3 linked regions of the Sus scrofa genome follow. The protein of the gene in region 1 interacts with the protein of each later gene in a biochemical or structural test. Links are inferred from orthologs where the notes say so. Each region holds a gene or a part of one and is shown on either strand. Other genes may lie near its edges.

The links.
Region 2: the proteins of FYB (region 1) and SKAP1 form a complex in vitro, tested with the Homo sapiens proteins (2 studies listed by BioGRID and IntAct, with this or other methods). The link is inferred for Sus scrofa from reciprocal best matches to the Homo sapiens genes FYB1 and SKAP1.
Region 3: the proteins of FYB (region 1) and FYN form a complex in vitro, tested with the Homo sapiens proteins (2 studies listed by BioGRID and IntAct). The link is inferred for Sus scrofa from reciprocal best matches to the Homo sapiens genes FYB1 and FYN.

Annotation. Positions count from the first base shown.
Region 1 is NC_010458.4:24,365,014-24,370,006, forward strand, and holds part of FYB (FYN-binding protein), read right to left. Parts: intron 3,793-4,993; coding exon 3,773-3,792; intron 3,074-3,772; coding exon 3,039-3,073; intron 1,863-3,038; coding exon 1,742-1,862; intron 1-1,741. UniProt on the Homo sapiens protein: Acts as an adapter protein of the FYN and LCP2 signaling cascades in T-cells. May play a role in linking T-cell signaling to remodeling of the actin cytoskeleton. Modulates the expression of IL2. Involved in platelet activation.
Region 2 is NC_010454.4:24,373,017-24,377,050, forward strand, and holds part of SKAP1 (src kinase-associated phosphoprotein 1), read right to left. Parts: intron 1,233-4,034; coding exon 1,131-1,232; 3' UTR 1,124-1,130; intron 1-1,123. UniProt on the Homo sapiens protein: Positively regulates T-cell receptor signaling by enhancing the MAP kinase pathway. Required for optimal conjugation between T-cells and antigen-presenting cells by promoting the clustering of integrin ITGAL on the surface of T-cells.
Region 3 is NC_010443.5:77,624,620-77,629,612, reverse strand, and holds part of FYN (tyrosine-protein kinase Fyn), read left to right. Parts: intron 1-2,592; coding exon 2,593-2,696; intron 2,697-3,668; coding exon 3,669-3,818; intron 3,819-4,993. UniProt on the Homo sapiens protein: Non-receptor tyrosine-protein kinase that plays a role in many biological processes including regulation of cell growth and survival, cell adhesion, integrin-mediated signaling, cytoskeletal remodeling, cell motility, immune response and axon guidance.

The sequences.
Region 1 (4,993 bases):
GCTATAAAATTTTTCATTTAAGAAATTAGTTTTTCATGTTTTACGCTTGAAAATTTCTAAACGCTCGTAACCATATAGACTGTATGATTAAAATGTTTTGATGTTCATACTGCAATCTTAGTTTTAATTATATATAGTAAGAAAAACTGAATGAGAACCTATAAATGATACAGCACCTTATGTGCATTATTTTATTTAATGCCATAATAAAATTTCAGGAGAGCTATCGTTTACTCACTTTAGAAATAAAAACCTGAGGTTCAGAGAAGCTTAGTAACATGAACACCATCAAATAACTCACAGGTGCATCTGGAATTTCAATGCCCATCTGTTCAACTGAGTCTAAGCTTTACATTTTCCCTGTGCCCTGCTGTTGAATCTTTATTTTATTATAAGAAATATACTGGGAAGTTGTATATAAATCACATTTCTATAATTTAAACCACATATTAAATGTTTTGGAAGAATTAAATATTCAAAGGAAACTTGATAATGTTATCCTTTTTAAAGTGAAGAATAGTTTTGTCACCCAGATAATCACTCTAAATGTAGCTGACATATCAAACCCACACCAGATGGGTCATGTTTTCAAAGACAGACTAGCCAGGCCAGTACGTTCTGCAAGTGCAGTCTTAGTGGTGGCAGTAATAGAAGTCACACAATTAGACATCAGAGAAGACAGAGGTCAGAAATCCAGGCAGATGAAGAGGGATGAGAAAGAGCAAGTATCAGAAGTCAATATGTACACAGGCTTAAAACACAGGCAAAAATGTAAGTCAGGTCTAGACATCAGCCATCAGAGTAGCTTGGAGATTCTGAGACAGGTATGGTTGATCCAGAGACACTCCTGTCCCTTGCCCCACTTTATACATGCCACAGGAATAGCTAAGTGTGTGGGTCTGAGCTCCTATTATAAGTAGGTTAACGTGAAATGCATGATGAGGAGAGTCAAGAAGGGTCTTAAGGAACCAACCAAGTATTCATTCACTCAACCGACGTAGAATTTCTTGAGCTCCAACTATATTTTATTTGGATTTTATGCAACTCATAAGCTGCCATATTTTATCTGAATTTTATTTTTTTAACTTTTAAAAAATTAATTTATTTTTTCTTGTTATGGCTGCACCCACGGCACATGGAAGTTCCCCGGCTAGGGGTTGAATCGGAGTTGCAGCTGTGGTCTATGCCACAGCCACAGCAATATCAGATCTGAGCCACATCTGTGATTTACACCACAGATTTCAGCAATGCCAGATCCTTAACTCCACTGAGTGAGGCCAGGGATTGAACCTGCATCCTCACGGACACTTTGTCAGATTCTTGACCCACTGAGCCACAGTGGGAACTCCTATTTGAATTTTCTTATATTGCATTTTTAGTGCAAGATAAGGGAGAGTATTGGACAAAAACCTTACTGTTATGAAGGTAGTTACTCTTGAAAACAATGATTAAATTTTCCAAATATGTAAGGTTTCAAAAATGGTGCCCCTTTTGTGTGAAAGTTATAAAGAAGTAACTCCTTTTAAAAAAATGTACACGTGCACAACACTGTAAACCAACTATAAGGGAAAAAATAAAAACCATTATATTAAAAAACCCATTATATTAAAAAAAAAAGAAGTTACTCCTTCTGTAAACCAGCTATAAGGGAAAAAAATAAAAGCCATTATATTAAAAAAAACCCATTATATTAAAAAAAAAGAAGTTACTCCTTTTCATTCATTAGCAAGCGAGGTCTTACTTTAAATTTCTTCTTTATTTCTTGTTCTTTCTTTTCTCTCTCTTTTTGTTCTTTTTTCTCCAGCTCTAATCTCTTCTTTTCCTCTTTTTCTCTTTTCTTCTCTTTTTCTTTGGATGCTTCTCTGAGGATAAACATTGTTAGGTTGTTTCAGCATCTGCAGGCATGGATGTGTTAGGGCTCACCCTCCAGAGAGTTCCTGCCCACCACAGAAGGCAGTGTCTGAAGTACAGGTGAAGGCACAAAGCCAAGGCTTGTCAAAATTCCTGGGTGTATGAGATGGTTCTTAAAAACGGCAGAAGGCCTATACATGAGGATACCTTCCAAAGGCTCTGCTACCCCTAAACTCATGCCAGCAAGTAGAAACCACTGTCCATAAACCCTGTTCTTTTTTTTTTTTTTTTTTTTTTTTTTTTTGCTTTTTAGGGCTGCACTTGAAGCATGTGGAAGTTCCCAGGCTAGGGGTCAAATCAGAGCTGCAGGATCTCTAACCCACTAAGCGAGGCCAGGGATTGAACACATGTCCTCATGGATACTAGTCAGCTTCGTTTCCACTGCACCACAACGGGAACTCCCATAAAGGCCCTGCTCTTGAGGCCTGTTGGCATGAATAGCATGCATCTCTCTCTCTCTCTTTCTCTCTCATGTGCACACTCACTGGTACAAGTGCACATACACATGTGTATGTGCAAACCTTAATTCCCAAACTTTTAGTCAGAATTAGTTGAATAAGAACTGGGTAGAGAAAATTAAGGTATCTGAATCAGCAAAAGATAAAATACGATGCTCATTTCTACTTTCCCTCATTTTCTGAGAAATTTAGTCTTGGGCCACCCAGAAGTCTCTTTTGGAGCTATTTTAAACATTTTTTCTGCTTTAGCAGGCCGACACTTTGGCATCTGGTGCTGTGTTGAACTGTCTCTCATGGAACAGTTGTGAGGCGAAGGGCTGCCTAGGTGAGGATTGTGTTACATGGACATGAATGCATTTGCCCAAGGACTTGCCAAGAGTGGGAAATACAGATTCCCACCCCTGGATTCCCTGCCTGTGGGCTATCTAGTGGGGTGTAGGCTCCCAACTCCTTTCACAACGGCATTTGAACAGGGTCCTCTGAAAAATCCTTAGACAAGAAAAGAATCTTTAGTCCCTTGTACTGAAATAAATGTTATCATTATAAGCCCTTTATTTGAACAATAGAGCGTCTCTCCTCTAGTGTTGAATATCTATCTGCACCCCCTCTTACAAATCATTGCATTTATCTTAGAAGGAAAATATCATGGTAAAAAAATGTAATGCATACATGTCTTCATATGTTTCTCCTTCACTCTCTTGCTCCTGTCAAGAAAAACAATGATGATTAATTGTAATTATTTAATAAGGGAACATACACATATTTCATTGCTCAAATACTCAGTAAAACAAACATAAATTTAATTGCATATAAATTTGAATGTTTAAAACATATTTTTTTCCTTTTAGAAGTAGACTGAGAAAATAAACACAAAAAGATTCCATTTTCTATCCAGCTATATAATCCAGATATATAGCCAGACCTGAGCTCATGTTCAGTGCTGCAAAATTACTATGAGTCAGTGTAATAATTGGTGTTTAATGTCTCAAGCATTTCAGATAAAATAAGATTATAAGTGAAAAAATACCATCATTAACTCCAAAGAATTTTCATTTGTTCCTTTACCAATAGAAAATGAATCACAGAGTTGCCATTGTGGCTCAGTAGTAATGAACCCTACTAGTATCCATAGGGCGCAGGTTTGATCCATGGCCTTGCTCAGAGGGTTAAGGATCTGGCGTTGCTGTGCGCTGTGGTGTAGGTTGCAGATGTAGCTTGAATCTGGTGTTGCTGTGGCTGTGGTGTAGGCTGTGGGGTATAGCTCCGATTTGATTTCTAGTCTGGGAACTTCCATATGCTGTGGGTGTGGCCCTTCAAATACAAAAAAAGAAAAAAAGATAATGAATCACAGTAATGGTTAAATATTCTATTGACAGTAATATAAGAAGGAAAGAAAAACTGACCTCATCGAGATTTCCAGTACCTAAAGTATTTAAAAAAAGAATACAATTTAATATACTCTAATTAAGAAGTGGTTTAACATGAATTATGAAATGCAATATAATATTCAAATCAGTTTATAATCTAACAGAACTTTTGCTTTACCCAAGGTATGTAAGTACAAAATAGAACATGTGGTTTAGATCCCTATTATTGCTTTTTTGAATCTTGGAATTTAATTACAAAATCATTTCATTGGCTTTCATAAAATAATGCAAAAACCAAAACATAATGAAGACACTCTTTATTTCTTTATGAAAAATACACATGTTTGATTTTGTGGGCTTGTGTAGAACAAAGGTATGACCAGAAAATCACAACTAGCTCACAGTTTTTGATTTATTTGCTCCCAAGGATTTACTTTCATGTATCAAACAAATCAAGTTAATAGGATTTTTCAAAAAGATATTTTACTGCTCAAGTGTTTAGTAACATCAACAAATTACCAAATATTAAGACATAATATAAAACAATAATAATAAACAGTGTAGTATTGATATTAAAACAAATAGACAATGGAACACAGCAGAGAGCTCAGAAACAGATACCCAAATTACACACATGCAAACAGAAACACACATTATGCACACACAAATACACCATGTGTACAAAGACATAAACACACTAATACAGCTAATACAGTAAAGGTGGCAGTATAAATTAATGAAAAAAGAGTGGATTTCAGAATATAGTGATGAGAAAACTGACTTTACATAAAGAGACAACAAATTTGGATTTCTACAAACTCCTCAAAGGTCAACTGCCAAGAGACCAAAGACCTAAATATAAGTTTCGTAGAAGAAAATAGAAGATAATATTTTTCTCTCCAAATAAAATACCTAGGAATAAACCTGACCAAGGAGGTGAAAGACTTATTTGCTGGCACTATAAAAAAATTTATCAAGGAAGGAGTTTCCGTTGTGGTGCAGTGGTTAACAAATCCAACTAGGAACCATGAGGTTGCAGGTTCGATCCCTGGCCTTGCTCAGCAGGTTAATGATCTGGCGTTGCTGTGAGCTGTGGTGTAGGTCGCAGACACGGCTCAGATCCAGCGTTGCTGTGGCTCTGGCGTAAGCTGGCAGCTACAGCTCCGATTCGACCCCTAGCCTGGGAACCTCCATATGCCATGGGAGCAGCCCAAGAAATGGCAAAAAAAAAAAAAAAAATTATCAAGGAAGTTAAAG
Region 2 (4,034 bases), on another chromosome or scaffold:
TTTAAAAGTATGATGTGGTTCTGGCTCATAAAACGCAAGCCATATTCTTTACTACCTAAACGTTAATTTAATTATGTTCCATAGGAATCCTCATACTGGATTCCTAATCTTGGCCAATCATATTGCTATGCACGGGCATGTGGGGGAAATGGTGCCCTGGATTTGATAACTGCGGATAAAGAAATCCAGACCTATCCTTGTGGCAAGAATTTTTTTTTTCTTTTTTAGGGCCGCAACCGTGGCACATAAGACGTTTCCAGGCTAGGGGGTCTAATCAGAGCTATGGTGCCGGCCTATGCCACAGCCACAGCAACACCAGATCCGAGCTGCATCTGTGACCTATACCACAGCTCATGGCAACGCTGGATCCTTAACCCACTGAGTGAGGCCAGGGATTGAATCTACAACTTCATGGTTCCTAGTTGGATTTGTTTCTGCTGCACCATGATGGGAACTCTGAAAAAATTCCTAATTGTTCTCCAATATCCATTCTCCCTTTTAAATTCATTAATGACCACCCCCCCATCACCACTTTTAAGTTGGACACAGGTTCTACCTAAAAGAAAGCTTTCTTTGTGGCTCGGTATGTCTATATGTCCAAGTTGGTCAATGGAATGAAAGCAGAAGTGGTGTGTGTAACATTTGTGAGGTGTCCTTAAAAGGAGAGGAGAGGGTGTCCCTTCTCCTTTCATTTTCCCTTCCTGCTGAGTAGGATACAGACACGATAGCTGGAACTGGAGCATCCATATTGGGCCATTAGGTACCATGCGAATGCTGACCACACACAGTGGAGCAAAAAGAGAAGGCACCTGGGACCTGGCTACCTTGGATTACTTACCTCCATATTTTTGTAGAAGAGAAAAATAAATTTCTATGTTAATTAAATCAGTGTTATTTTTAGTTTTCTGTCATAGGTAGTTCATTGAACCTAATCCTGACTGTCACAGTCCCCCTGTTTAGGAAAAACAATTACAGATTTATATTCTTTCAATGGTGAATTACAAGCATCACTTTTGGAAACGAAGAAAAGCTACTTCACTGGCAACTCTCATCCTTCACAGAGAAATGAAGGCATAGCCAACAAATACAAGGCATGGCCAACAAATTCATTGGCAATTGATACCTGGGCTTCATCTTTCTTCCACTTCAAAGGCAGTGGTGAGGTACTCCTTTGGAACAATCCCAATGAGGCTGTTCATTTCTCCTACCCACCAGCCATACATGTTATACTCCTGAAAAATGAAAAGAGGATGCCTTCAGTTGGAATTTAGTCATGCTTCTGTTAATCTTTTTTAATCTGTTAATGACTGCATGGGAGACTCTGCTGGGTGGTTTCTTTGTTGACACTACAGTACAACTTAACACCCCTGATGGGATTACTAAATTAAAAAAAGTTATCTAGAGGCAGACAGCAAACTCTGCTTTCCTTTTGCCATCTTTCTGTCTATCTTGAAAATTTAGCACATTTGGTGCTATTGCTGAACCTAAAGAGCATGTCTTTTACCAAGCAGAGTGGAATGGCTTCTTCGAGGAAAGTTGGGCACACCCTAAAATGCCAGACCACTAAAGATATTCAGGGAGTTGGGTCATAGTTCAAATCAATAATATTTACCAAGCATCTTCTATGTGCGAAGTGCTGTTTGAGTTCCCACGAGATAGATTATGATGAATCAACACTGCTTGCTCCCTGGGAGTTTACAGCACAGAGTAATGAGCTATGGAGTCAGACAGACTGGGATTTAGTCCCCATTTGGTCATTTAGTAGCCATGTGACTGGAGGGTCTCCTAGCTTCCTCCTCTGTAAGAGTAGGGATAATATTACCCTCCCCTGTGTTGGGATATAAGTGATGCTGCAGACATGAAAACAATTCAAAGTGTCTGATACACAGTAGGTGCTCTAAACATTGGCTTTCTCCCTTGGAAGAGGTGGGAGGTTGACATCAGTAATGATGGGCAGGACAAAAGAGCCATAGAAAGGAGAGTTCCCTTGCAGTGCAGCCGGTTAGGGATCTGGCATTGTCACTGTAGTGGGCTTGGGTCACTGCTGTGGTGTCAGTTCAATCCCTGGCCTGGGAACTTCCACATGATTTAGGTGTGGCAAAAAAAAAAAAAAAAAAAAAAACAAACCCCAAACACCAAACAAAGAGCCATAGAAAGGGGCAAACAAGAAAGGGAATGAGAGGGTTTAAAAGAAGGACAGTTACAGAGTTGAGAACAGAGCTCCTTGAATACTGAAGATCTTAAAAGCACGGCAGATGTTGAACACTATGGGGCTATTCCTAAAAGCACTATAACATATTTTCCTTCTCTTGAAAGAAGTGAAATTTAGGAATTCATGGGAAATATATGTATTCCAGTTCAGCTGGATTTGGGTACTGAGGAGCTAATGTTTTAAGCCTTGTGCACACCTGGTTGCTGAGTTCTAGGGGGGAAAAAAAAGAAAACTAGGTTGGTGACACAAAATTCTGGGTCAACCAGTTATCTTTTTGTTTCTTTTTCATCGTATATCTTCCTTCCTCCAACTCTGCCTCTCCCTTCCTCTCAGCAGTTGACCTTTTTTCCACCTTGAAGGAAGAGAAAAGAGAAGCCACCCAAACAGGAACTTACCTTTGTTGACAACCACCTTTCTTTCTCAATAAAGTGGAGAAGATGTCCCTTTCCCGGCTTGCTTTATTTATTTATTTATTTATCTTTTTAGGGCTGCACCTGAGGCATATGGAAGTTCCTAGGCTAGGGGTTGAATTGGACTACAGCTGCCAGCCACAGCAGCTCGGGATCTGAGCTTCATCTGCGACCTACACCACAGCTCATGGCAACGCCGGATCCTTACCCCACTGAGCAAGGCCAGGGATCGAACCTGCATCCTCATGGATGCTAATCGGATTCGTTTCCACTGAGCCACAACAGGAACTCCCCTCTCTTGGCTTTAGACTGGTCCTCACACTCGCCCTTGTAACCCTTCTGCTTTCTTTCTTAGGTTCTGAGAAATCTGACCTCTGCCTCCCATGTAAACGGCCCCTTCCATCTGCACCAAAGTGGGTTCGAGTCTCTTTTGTCTTTGCAAACAACTATTAAATAGTCCCCACTGCATGTCTACTTCCCATTTCTACTGCTCTATGCGGACTGCCAATTCACAGTCAGATTTATTTTATTTTTTAATTTTTAAATTTTTTTTGGGTCTTTTACCTATTTCCTGGGCCGCTCCCTCGGCATATGGAGATTCCCAGTCTAGGGGTCGAAACAGAGCCGCAGCCACCAGCCTACGCCAGAGCCACAGCAACACAGGATCTGAGCCTCGTCTGCAAACCTACACCACAGCTCAAGGCAACGCCGGATTGTTAACCCACTGAGCAAGGGCAGGGACCGAACCAGCAACCTCATGGTTCCTAGTCAGATTCGTTAACCACTGCGCCACGACGGGAACTCCCACAGTCAGATTTATTGAAAGAATTTATTTCACTTAGTGCTCCAACTTCTTGCTTTCTACTCACTCTTTGAACCACTCTAATCGGGCTTCTGCTTCCTCAGTCCACTTATACTTCCTCTCGGTGTCTCCTAGAACCTCCTTATTGCTCAGATTCTATGGGTACTTTTGTCTTTAACTTACTTGATCTCTCTGCAGTGCTGGCACTATGGACCCTTCTTGAGGTATTTTCTTCTTTTAGTTTCTATAATTACACTTTCCTGGTTTCCTTCCTACCTCTTTGGTGGCTTCTTTTCCTTCTCATCTTTATCCCTCCGTTTAGGGTGGTTTTCCTAGTTGCCTTCTGACCTGATGTGCTTTCCTTCCACAGTCTTATATAGCTGTGTGGTTTAGCCACCATGCCTGTGTGAACGACTCACAACCATAGCTCTAGCCCACATCGAAGGGTTGGATCCCAAAGCTTAACTGCATGTCCGTCGAGCTGCTCAAATTCAGTATACCCTAAAGTTGACCATCATCTCGCCTCTATCTCATTCCCATTCTGAAGCCATCTTGACCACCTCTGTTCTTTTTTTTTTTTTTTTTTTTTGTCTTTTGTCTTTTTTGTCTT
Region 3 (4,993 bases), on another chromosome or scaffold:
GTTCCCGTCGTGACTTAGCAGGTTATGAACCCCACTTAGCAGGGTTTGATCCCTGGCCTTGCTCAGTGAGTTGCAGATCTGGCATTGCCATGAGCAGTGGTATAGGTCACAGATGCAGCTCAGATCCCATGTTGCTATGGCTGTGGTGTAAGCTGGCGGCTGTAGCTCCAATTGGACCCCTAGCCTGGGAACCTCCATATACCTCGGGTATGGCCCTAAAAAGATTTTTTTAAAAAGGTGATGAAATTCTAGCTAGAGCACGTACTATCACCAGCCCAAGGGTCTAGGCCTGAAGTCTGTTGAAGATATGGGGGGAAAGGGAATAGGGAGGGTGGGGGAGAAAGAGAAAAAGGAGGTAGAAATAATTGAGGTTTTCCTCCTCCCCAGAATTGGAAAGGTTAAAAGGTGCTGAAAAGACAGGTGTCCAGGCCCTGGGTAGGGGTCTCTCACCTGCAGGTGTCCCACAGCTCAGGCAGTCCTGAGGGGGTACATTTCACTGGCCCTTTCCTCTGATATGGGGTGTCAGGTGCTTCTTTCACAGCAAATTGTGACCAGCGGTTTGTTGGCTCAAGGATTTTTCTGATAGCAGTTTCGAAAGGTGGTGAGTAGGCTGGGCAGATTCTAGAAGGAACAGCTGTGGTTGCTCCTCCTGCCCGGGGTGCCAAATAGGCACCTCCAAAGTGAAGAGCTGTCAGTACGGCTCCTGTGAGGGCCTAGACATCTCAGCTAAGGGCTGGGATCCCCCACCACACCGTGGGAACCTGCCTATCCTGCTTGTTGGAGGCAGTCCTGACTTACCAGAAGACAAGTCAGGAAAAGTCGGCCACAGAACCCGACCTTTGGCTCTGGTATCCCACTTGCCCCGGGTTTGTCTGAGCCCTGTGAGGAGGATTAGACTCCACAGCCCAGCCAGATCCCCAACTGGAATGTTGTCTTGTCTTTAGCTCCCCTGCATTTCCTCTAAGAAGATCTGTTTTGTTTCCCACCCTCAAATATTCAGTGGTTCTGAGCTCCTTTTTTCCTCCCAGGGATTGTTTCATCATCAGGGAATAAAAGAATCCGTATTGAGTCCTTATTTTAAGGCAGGTTTGCCAACATCTTTGTCTTCCTTCAGAATAAAAGGTACCACCAAAACAAAGCATTGCTCTGACTTAACCGGGAACCTAGCCTCCATGTATTTAAGTTATATTTAGAATGGCCAGGGGTTTTTTAAATACTCAGTTTTTAAAGAATAAAATAGCATTTAAAAAATAATACCTGTGGTTTTACATGAGCGGTGAATTGCCCTTATCTTAAATTGCAATTGTTTCAGTACACACCATTGTTCTTAGGGCCCTCTTTCCACCACTGTTCATGTTTACACTGCATTTTAATTGGGTTATTGATACAAACCCAGAAAGTCATTTCTCACAAATAATTGGTGTAATTCTTTGTATACCACCTCATGCTAGGTTAGGATTACTGCAGTCTCATGCCTTTAAAATCACCAAGGAGCTGGCACGAAGCATGTCTTCTCTTATCCTCAGGGAAGCTCTTTCATTCACAAAAGAATTTGACAGTGACACATAATAGTGCACATATAATGAGTTGAAATTTCATTTTAGAAACTGGATCCTCTCACCATCACACATTCTAGAAACAGATCCGTGCACAGATTCCAGTGGACCTCTGCTTGGGTCCCCTAGGGCTCATGGAGCACCTGCTGCTCGCTCACTCAGCACCTACACAGAAACGTTAACCAGTCACCAGGCCGTGGTCAGGGCTGGAGAGCGCAGGGGAGATGAAAGATGGATGAGGAAGGTTGGGGGGTGAACTGAGGTGATGTCTCCTAAAGTGGCAGGAGAGCATCATGATAGAATATGATCAAGTCCTAGGCACCGAGTTGTTTTTGAGGACGTGCAGTTGGCTACCCAGGAACCTGGCCCTGGCATCTGGGCCAAGGCACACCTGGGGCAGGTCACAGCCCAGCTGCTCAACAGCTCCCTTCTGCCTGCCCACATTCTCATGCTGCTGGACAGAGAGAGGATGGAAACGAGCATGGGGGCCGCAGACACCTCAAGTTAGGGCTAGTCTAGAGTTCCCGCAGTTAGGAAGTTGCTGAAAACACCATGTCTTTGTTTTTGATCCATTCTAACCGACTTCTTTTTAAATGCTTGGTTAATGATTTTTATATACACTCAGCCTGTGTTTTATTATTTCCCAGGTGTTGTAATTATGCTCAGAAATCCAGGGTCTTGTAGAGGCACGTGGGAAGGGTCCTCTTGGTTGCCATTTCAAAACAAGGTCTTGGGTTTCTCTTTTTGTGCATGCAGGTGGAACTTTTAACACAAATCCACAGGTTGCTGTCATCTCTAGAGGCAAGAAAAATAACCTGCAATTCAAATCTGATTGTTTTTCAAGAGTGAAAGAGACGGACTGGGGATGGAATTGGGAATAGATTGAAAAGGAACTCGTTGAGGCCAAGAAAAAATGTACAGGGCGGGGGCTGAGGATGGAATCGGAGATGAGGATTCCTGGGCAGAGGGACCAACGCTGTTCCATTGTTGTAAATGTTCATTATAAAATGTTTCCTTCCCTTGATCTCACTGAAAGGTGGTACTTTGGAAAACTCGGCCGAAAAGATGCTGAGCGACAGCTTTTGTCCTTTGGAAACCCAAGAGGTACCTTTCTTATCCGTGAGAGTGAAACCACCAAAGGTAAGATAACGAGCTGAAGAAGCTGGCTTGTCATTCAAATCGCTGGATTAGTCAGAGGGGATGAAAGGCTTATCTCTAATGTACCAGGAGTTTTAAATGGTACATATATCCCCCCGCCTTGTGAGCCAAGTCCTATTTTCAGATTTTCCTCCAGGCTCCAGAACTGCAGACAGTTCCAAAAGGATGGCAGAGGCTCAAAATTGAGACCTTCCTCCCCACACGGGGGCTGGGGCCACTTCTCTCCTCCAGGGACTCTGAGATCATAGACTCTTCAGAAGTCCTTTAGGATGGGGATTTTCTGAAAAATCCCTCTTGGTTCCTCGGGTGCCCATCGCACAGGTTGTGTTCCCGCACTTCTTTTGTTTTCTCCACCACTGAGGACTTTTCTTCCTCCATCTGCCCGCCATCCCATTTTTCTAACAACACATTAGAGCCCACAGAGGAGCTGGGGCCCAGGGAAAGGAGCAGTGGCCTTTAGCTTGATCTGCCAGGCACTGGTTCTCCAGCTCCTGGGAACAGTGTTGTGAAGCAAGAAGTGGAAGCTCAGTTCTAGAAAAACGGTTCTCAGATTTCTTCAGTGTGCACTGCCCCTGCCTGCATGATGCTCTGTGGGTAATCAGACTAGGGCCACAGCCCAGCCCTGAGCAGCCCTTCCCTCCTTCCCGGGGGTGAGTTGGGTCTGTACCTTGTTCACCAGCACAAGTGTACTGAATAGGGTATCATAGGAAAAAAATCCAGGGAGTGTTCATTCTCAAGGCTAGAATCATTTTCTTGCTAGTATCTTCTGACATTTGCAGAAAAAGGTGTTTTCTTCCTGTGTTACCAACTAGAAGTGTGTGTGTGTGTGTGTGTGTGTGTGTGTGTGTGTCTCCTCCTGATAATTATTCATCAGGATACTCGAGTAAATGAGACCTGAAAAACACATGGCTACTGAGAATGATTGAAGCTGCTAATGCTTTGCATATTCCCCAGGTGCCTATTCGCTTTCCATCCGTGACTGGGATGATATGAAAGGAGACCATGTCAAACATTATAAAATTCGCAAACTTGACAACGGTGGGTATTATATCACCACCCGGGCCCAGTTTGAAACACTTCAGCAGCTTGTACAGCATTACTCAGGTAACCTGAATTCTAACTCGCTACTGGCCACTTGGATGCTGGAGGGAGTGGGTGGGCACAGAGCAGGGAAAGAGGTACAACGAATATGGACAAAGCCACACTCGGGAAATACTTGGCTTTGCCAGCCCCTCAAGGTGGGTCTTGGCCAACTGGGTTCTATCAGTTTTTTTCCTTCAGAGCTGTTATTAGTTCCATATGTTTGTCAAAAGCTTATAATGCTGTAGTTCCCCACGTAGAAAGCAAGAGGTTAAATTCTAAAAGCTCTTTGTTTTTTCCATCATCATCCTGAACTCCCTGAAAGTTATCTCTTCCTGTTCCCTGGCAGTGTGTAGTTTAGAAACCCTGCAAGGCAGAGGGTGTGGTCTCCGAGAGGACACTTACCTGGGGTCTCCCACAGGGGGTGCTGTGTTTCTACCATCTCTCTACACTCAGCACTGTTGCAGGAACAGCTGCACATAACGTTTCATTCTCATGACTAGATAAATTTTGCCATCCATTTATTTATTTTTTCTTTTTTCTTTAGGGCCTAACTTGCTGCATATGGAGGTTCCCAGGCTATGGGTCGAATCAGAGCTGTAGCTTCTGGCCTACATCATACCCATCCACTTACCATATTCTACGTCCCCATCAATACTTCTGTTTCCTAACTAGGCTTAGACATACTTGACCCACAGCCCTTAGATCTGGTACAGCTCTTACAGTTACTTTAAACTTTTAAACAGAACATCAATCCCTGTCCTAACACCAAGATGTCACCATTGGTCTGTCGTTCCTAGAAACATATAATTATTAGCTGTGTGATTTGTACATTTTATTAAAGAAGGTAATTGTATGTGCAGTAGTTAAAATGATGGCTTTCTCAAGTTCCCACTGTGGCACCACAGGATAGGTAGTGTTGCTGCAGTGCCAGGACATGGGTTCCATCGCCAGCCTGGCACAGTGGGTTAAAGGATCTGGCGATGCCACAGCTGTGATATAGGTCACAACTGTGGCTCTGATCTGATCCCTGGCCCGGGAACTCCATAAGCCACAGAGCGGCCAAAAAAGAAAAAATAAAAATTAAAAAACAATTGCTTTCTTTCCTAGATTAGCAAGTGTATCCCACTCTGTCATATGTACACACCAATGGACATAGCTGTGCAGATGCAAATAAAGAGCTATATCCCATTCAGCCC